Ovis aries: one gene and its partner. The protein of the gene in region 2 interacts with the protein of the main gene of each other region in a biochemical or structural test. Links are inferred from orthologs where the notes say so. Each region holds a gene or a part of one and is shown on either strand. Other genes may lie near its edges.

Evidence for each region.
Region 1: the proteins of SCN8A (region 2) and FGF14 form a complex in vitro, tested with the Homo sapiens proteins (2 studies listed by BioGRID). The link is inferred for Ovis aries from reciprocal best matches to the Homo sapiens genes SCN8A and FGF14.

Annotation. Positions count from the first base shown.
Region 1 is NC_056063.1:78,110,703-78,114,969, forward strand, and holds the start of FGF14 (fibroblast growth factor 14), read right to left. Parts: upstream 2,801-4,267; 5' UTR 2,022-2,800; coding exon 1,814-2,021; intron 1-1,813. UniProt on the Homo sapiens protein: Probably involved in nervous system development and function.
Region 2 is NC_056056.1:134,531,534-134,535,033, forward strand, and holds part of SCN8A (sodium channel protein type 8 subunit alpha), read right to left. Parts: intron 968-3,500; coding exon 497-967; intron 1-496. UniProt on the Homo sapiens protein: Pore-forming subunit of a voltage-gated sodium channel complex assuming opened or closed conformations in response to the voltage difference across membranes and through which sodium ions selectively pass along their electrochemical gradient.

The DNA.
Region 1 (4,267 bases), on a different chromosome or scaffold from region 2:
GCTCACCGCCCAATTGGAAATGCGGCTGGGGAGGTGACCACACTGCTTTCTCCTTGGGTGATGCTCAGGGTGGTGGTACCATCTCAGAGTTGCTAAATACGGAGGAGTTAAGAGAGACGAGGGTGGAAGGACAGGGCATGGAGCGGGTGGTGGACAAAGAGGAGAGGGGGACGGAGAGAAAGCCGGTCAAGCTAAACCGAGCACGGAGCTGAGAACTCCAGGTCGGAAGCAGGGGGCCACTGCAGCACCCCGCCGCCCAGAGCTTCCCTCAACTGCCACCCAAAGGTCCCGGCAGAAGGCAGCTGCCAGGCGTCCTCCCTGCGTCCAAGCACCTGCCCTCTGGACCAGCAGCACAGGGGGCCACAAGGGGGACCCAGCCTCCGCATCCACCCCTCCATCCCCGCCCACCCAGCCTTCCTCCCACCTCCCCACCCCTCCTCCCCTCCCTCCTCCCCTCCCCCTCCCCCTCCCCCTCTTCTCGCGCCGCCCAGCTACGCTGCATCAGCCAGCCCCGGAGGCAGGGAGGCGGCCGCCACTTGCCGCCCGGCCGGCGGGGCTCCGGGTGCCAGCGCGCCCCCGGCGGAGCTCGCAGTGTCAGGGTGCCCGCGGGAAGCCATGATCTACTACACCGCAGTGCCGCCGTCAGGAGCCCCGGGCGCCCCGGGCTGCCGCGGCAGGACGGCCAGGGCCCCGCCCCCGTCCCCCAACACGGCCCCCAGACACAAACACCGGCCTCCCGCCCCCGGGTCCCTCCCCGGCCTGGGCCGAACCGGGGGACACCGCACACCGCACCACCTCCCCCCCCCCCCCGCCCCTCCGCCTCCAGCGCTCGCGCTCTCGGACCCGCCGCGCCCGCGAGCCGCCGCCACCACCACGCAGTCCTCCGGCATGGCCTCCCCAGGGCGACTCGCCCACAGCTCCGCGGCCGCCCCCAAACGCCTCAGACTGAAATCCCGGGAAGTGAGCCCCGGGGACCCGACTCCCCCGAATCACCTGCATTTGCATTTCTTATATAACGTACTGCAAGCGTCCCGGTTGGAGCATTTTGGAAAGGGGGCGCACGATCGCCGCGAGGCTGAAGCAGGGACCCGGAGCCAGGCGCACCCCACCCTGGGGACCCAGATGCGGGGCGAGGACACTGCTTTATTAAAGGGAGAGACCGGGCTCGTCGGCTCGGTGTGGGGTTCCCTCCCAACAGGAGCCCCGCTCAGGTGTCCCCAGTGACAGGAGGTGTCGGAGACAGAAAACCGGAGAAGAGTTAGAACTCCGGCACGGCGAGCTAGACGGGGGCGGGAGGCGGGGGCCGCGCGGGAGGGGGAGCCCCTTCTACTTTGGTAAAGGTGATGGGGTGGCGGACACTGTGCAAGCTAATCAGAAAGTCTCGAGCAGGTTCTCGGAGCCGAGCTAGGTCTCCCCGAAGCCTGCAGCACAAGTCGGCGGAGCTCTCGGCTTCTTTTTCCTGGCAAAGAACGAAGCTTCGGCTGCCTCGGGCCAAACCTTAAGCTATAAACCCTTCAATACTTCACCAAACATCGGCAACCAGATACATTAATTTAAAAGAAAAAAAAAGTTTCCTCCTCCCTCCGAGTGATGGATTGTGTCACAGCCAAGGGATGCTGACACGGGTTTGGGGGCTCAGAGACGCGGATCCAGCTGTTCCTTGTTTATCCATGCAATAGCTCTATACACTATACTGTCCTGGTCCTTTGCTGTCTCCCCTGCCTTCCTGCATAGCAGAACTGCAGATCTAGCTCAGTGAGCAACAGACAGGTTATTAGGAGGAAAAACATAACATGATGCATGTTTTGCTTACCAGTTGGGTTCTTGTTTTTCTTAAGACTCTTGCCACAAAGACACTGCAGCATATGCGTTCCTTTGCTGAAAATGTTCCAAAGAAACCACATTGATTTGGGCGAAAAGCAATCCAGCAGCTTAGACACCCTGAGAAAGAAGAGATCCTTGTGGTTGCATAATAATAATTTGAAATCAGTTCTCCTGAAGAGGGGCACCGGTTTTACCATAGGAAAAACGATGATATTCCGGATCTTCTCCCAGTTTTTTCCCCTCACGTGGTGTATTTCTTTGAGACTTCTCAGTGATTGTTTTTTTTCGGCCAGGGTGAACGATTTTATCCCCCTTGATCACCACTGGATTATTACCAAAGGGTTGGCCAAAAAATCCTTTTTCAGCGTGAAGACAAACAAAAAAGCAAAGAAATCCCAACTGAGAGCAGAGTTAATCAAGGAGAACAGGAATGCACAAAAGATCCCCGAAGAGAAAACCATAGCCTTTTTACTTGATCGCTATGAGGATGAGTGAGTCTGCAGGAGGCTAAGCAGGATTCGTCTCACTGAGAGAAGACTGCCATTGTGTTGTCCCTAGGAGAGAAGATTTAAAAAAAAAAAAAAAAAGGAAAAAGGAAAGAAAGAAAGAAAAAAGAAAAAAAGAAAAAGGAAAGGAAACTGAAAAGAAAAAACCACCACCAGCACACACACACCCCGATACCACCTCCGAGTCTGACAGCCGAAGACACAGCCTCCCTTCTCTGTGTCGATTTTTTTTTTTTTTTAAATAATCAATCGCCGGTGCTCAGTGGGATCGGATAGAACCTGCAGTTCTCAATCACCACGAAGAAAAGATGCAAATTGAGGTGCCTGGGCAGGCTGGTCGTAGTAGATAGACAGCGCCACGGACCCCCTGGCTCCTGGCTCGCGCTCCGCCAGTTTCCAACAACGGTGAGCATGGGGAAAATCTCCCCTCCGGATTCCTCGCCCAGCCTCGGATGTGAGTTACAGGCATTAAAGGGAGGAGGAGTTGAAGTTTGCATTGAAAAGACTGGCTTTCCATGACGTAGCCACGTGCTTTCAGACCCGTCACCAGTGAGATGCTTGCACCCGCCCGGGGAGGGCAGTATCACTGCAGTCTCCCCGCCGGTTCCCCTCTCGAAGTATCCCCCGCCCCGCACCACCAGCACTCAGCCCCAACCCACCATTCGACCCCCTCCCTCCTCTCCCGGCCTGATGAGGCTTGCTGCTTGCCCTCCGAAGCCAGCTAACACAGACTTCTCTTTCAAAGTGAATTCTGAAAAGGAGAATTGATGATAATTAGCAAACCTTCAAAAATACATGGGATGGACCGGAGGCAGGGGTTTAAGCGGAAACAGCAGTTTAGGACCACTCCTCGGCCAACATTAGTTGCACCTAACACTTTCCAAAAACAGCCTGAAAAGCATCTAAAACCTTAAGGAAAACTCAAGTTCCTTTAGTTCTTACTTGAATCCTACTTGAAGAGCTGCTGGAAAAATATAAGCTAGGCATATGATAAGTATGTACTTGCAGGTACTGCCTGTTAAAAGAGCAATCACTAAGATCAGGGTGACAAGCTATACTTTGTTGAGGAGAGTCATATGTAAATGGGAATATTTCTGCCTTTTCTAGACAACCCATGATCTTCAAATACTTTTTTTTTTTTTGGTACAGAAAGCACTCTGCTTGATTCGCACACTAATTCATTGCTTTTTTTCTGCACTCATTAATTGAACTAACATTAAATTCATCCTTATTCTGTTATCTACGCTTGTCTACAAACTTGTCACCTGCCGCCACCATTTAACTGAACAAAACGGGCAAATTTTTTTCTTTTCTCAAGATGTAACCCAGTTTCCTAATTTCCCAGAAAAATGAAAACATTTAGGGCAGTGTTTTTTTATTTATTTTATCTCATTTGAGGAAATATATACAAGATAATACAAACTGTTACTAAGAATCATATAACAAATTCCAGTGTACTTCCTAATCAGAATTAATAAATGTTACAATTTCATATTTGTGTGCTGAGCATTTTCAAAAAAGTAAAATTCACCACTTTCACTGTTGTTAGGCAAAGGACTTCAAGTTATGCCAGCTTATTAAGCTCTGTCTTAATTTCAAAAGATTAAAACTATTACCTCTTCTGCATGGGATACCAAGCTATCTTATAAACAAATAGATGTAGATTTATGTTGTTGGAGACTGATAGAAACTGATTTTAAAGAAATTTAACTACTTACTTTTCAATTACTAAAATATGAAAATATAATAAACAACCTTCCATGCTAGTGTTTTCTAATATGCAAGAAGGATTTTGAGGTGTCAAATTTGTATCCAATATCCTTAACCCTTTCGGAAAATGTCAGTTGATTTTTAAACATGGTAGAAGAGGAATTTAATTCCAGCAAATTTTATTTAAGTTAAGAAGCTTGAAAGTTAAATGCTGATGTCCTCAACAT
Region 2 (3,500 bases):
GTCCCAGTGGTACAGCTCAGACAGACTGATGGCAGGGAAGAACCCGAGGGTTTCCTCCAGCCTCTGATCCAGATGACTCAGAAGCAAGAGAGGCAGATCTGGGAACATCTCAGGAATTTAGCTCATCTGGGGGTGGGTAGAATTGGTTCTCAAAGTTGAAAGTGAAGTGAAAGTCCCTCAGTCTTGTCCAACTCTTTGCGACCCCATGGACTGCAGCCTGCCAGGCTCCTCTGTCCACAGAATTCTCCAGGCCAGAATACTGGAGTGGGTGGCCATTCCCTTCTCCAGGGGATCTTCCCGACCCAGGGATTGAATCCAGTTCTCCTGCATTGCAGGCGGATTCTTTACTGTCTGAGCCATCAGGGAAGCCCAAAAGTTCAAAGTTGAGAGTTGGCTATTCCAAAATCTCTCTGCCAGGCCCATGGCTGGACCAGTCCCCAGGCTGATCATTTGTTCTTACATAGGATCAAGACAGGTTTCTCGGCTGGGACCTTACATCTTTGCTGCCTTCAGGATCCGACTCGCTGCTGACGTCCTCTGTGTTTAGGTTCTCAAAGTCGGACTCGCCGACGGCGATGGGCACTCGCACGGTCAGGTTGGGATTGTTGATGAAGGACATGTGGTCCTCGTCGATGATGTACTTCTCCACGCTGCTGCCGATGCCACTGGTGGTGCCATTGCCGTTCTTCTGGAAGTCACCGTTCCGGTGGATGTCGGCGCCGGTGTGGTTGGCGATGCAATTGGCTTTCTTCTCGTACAGCTCGTCCAGAGGCTTCACTTCATCGGCCTCGCGCTGCTTGAAATGGGCCTGCATGAAGGCATGCACTTTCAGCTTGATCCACGCCACGCCCTTCTTGATCCGGATCACGGAGATTTGCAGGTTGTTCATTTCTCCATCGTCGTCTGTGGCCGCCAGGTTGTCAGCACTGAATGAGCTCAGAAGCAAGGCCAGAAACAGGTTCAGCACCTGCACCGGGAGCATTAGGAAAACGGCGAGTGAATGGAGAACGGTGTTGGGTACAGCTATCCACTAAACTAGGGCTGTAAACTGCAGGCTCACAGTCTTATGGAAAAGACTCGAGAGCTCCTACTGTGCTCTGTCTGACTCACGCAGTGTTTTCAGTGCTCATGTCACTACGTGCACATTTTGTTTGGTTTTGGTTGTAATACAAGGAGTTCAGCACTCCTTTTTTGGGTTCTTTTGCAGTGCTATTCACATATATATGTACTTCAAAACATACTCCTTTTCTTATAATCAGAAAAAGCAAAGGTTGTATCCATTTTGGGAGGAAATTCTCCAAAAATACAAACAAAAAGGTGGGCACGGATTATTGAGAAGGATCAAAGAATGCCTAGATGCCATGTGTTCCTGAAGAGCAGGTGTCCTGGAGGACCCAGGTTAGAAAAAAATTAGGCTTGGAGAACCAGACTTTCAAATAACAAATCTAGAAGGTGGAACTGAAATATCTTCCATGTTATCCTATTTTAAAAATCTATTTTGTTTTCCTAACATTTACCAAAATTAAGTAGCTCTAGCAAGAAGTGATGGTGACTTTTGGGTTCTATATCCAAGTGTCAGGCCATTAGAAACAAGTTTCACTTATTTTTCTTTTCTTTTCTTAACCACATTGGGCATTAGGATTAATTTATTTTTATTAAGACTTACTTTTGAAAAGTGGGAGGGATGTTCACTCGATTTACACTTGGCCCTTACTTTGTCATACTTCTGAAGAAGAGTAAGGCACACATTTTAGGTGGAAATAATCATATGCACAAGGTGGGAGAAACAGAAACAATGTATGAACTCTGCGCACCCGGGTTCCAGTGGCATTTGCAGCGTTACCGAGGAAGACAGTCGGTTAAACTGGGGTCAGCTAATAAGGGCTTTGTAGGCCAGGCTGAAATATTTGAATCTTAATTGGATCCACTCTTGGTCCTTGAGTAAATGAGTCACAGATGATGACAGAGATTTGAGAAAGCCATTCCTACTAGGTACACATGTGGTAGGCTGGGAGGAGGGGTTAGGAGTTAGAAGGCTGTTCCTTGCATGAGTTGATAAGGGTCTGGATCAGGCTGTGGCAATCTCAAACCTTAGCAAGCAGAAGAATCTCCTGGAGTGGCATGCTTGTTAAAAACGAGCATCTCCTTGGTCTCACCAGAAAGATTCTGATTCAGTAGATCTGGGGCAGGTCCTGGGACTTGGCCTTTTTTAATGAGTGAAGCTCAAGGTGACTGTAACGAAGGTGGTCTTCCTTGGACTTTTAGAAATACCAGATGGGTTGTAGAAATGGAAAGGAAGGGGCAGATCTCAGAAATACTACAAAGAAAGATGCATATATAGAAATGCTAAGAAGAAAGAGATGAGAGACATCAGATGTCTACCTGGAATGGAGAGAAACGTCAGAAGAAACTGACAGATTCCTGGAGACGACATGGGCAGAAGGACTGTGCCACGGGGGAACTGGGAAAAGTGCCATCCCAGGCAGAAGTACCAGTGGATTTTGCCGTGTGCTCAGGTGTCTGTAGCCAGTCGTGGGAAGGTGTCCCTGAGACTACTGAGGACGGGAGACTAGAGAAATGGGAGGTCAGGGCTGGTGATGCTGACTCTGCAATGGACAGTAGCTGCAGGCAGCAGCTGTCCTCAATGAAGGAGTGGGAAGACTGGGGGTCAGGACTGAGGGCAAGATGGCTGGGAATGGAGAATGGGAGTGACTAAGAAACATTACATTGCCTGTTTTTATAGGTCCAGTGAAAGACTAGGGTGGGCAAGGCTGGTTCAGAGGCTGATGAGTAGGAATGCCCTACTGGCATATGCTTCTCTATGGCAGAAAATGGAAGAGAACCACTCTCGAAGAGCTTATAAGGGGTCATCTGAGTGTGTCTTCTTCCAGTCCTCCTCCTTGTACACTTGCAGGCGGGCTTTGGCCTGATTTGAAAGATGAGTGCTTCTTAAACTACAACGTGTATGTGGATCACCTGGGAATCATGTTAAAAATGCAGATACTGATTGTGGGGAGTGGCCTAAGATTCTGAATCTCTAGTATAGCCTTGAATGTTCTCACTGCTGCTAGTCCTCAGATGACACTTTAGAAACAAGGTGTTAATTTCTGTAGGTGAGCATTCTATTTACAGAGGCAAGTGACAGCAGGTGGACAGAGTGAAGCAAGGAAGCGATTTGAAATTTATAAACCTCAGATAAAATCCTAGGATGGCTTAGATCCATGGTTCTTAAAGGAGGGCAATTTTGCCCTCTGAGGGCAGTTGGTCATGTCTGGAGACATCTTTGGTTTTTACAACTTGCGCCGGGGGTCACTACTGGCCAGTACAGAGTAGATGCCAGGGATACTGCAAATACCTTACAGTACACAGGACACTTCCACAACAAATAATTATCCAGCCCAAAAGATCAGGCTGAGAAGCTCTGAGTGTTTTTTAATAGTAGAAAGACCACAGACTTTGAAGTCAAGGATCTAACACAAGCCCTGACGTTTATTAGCTGC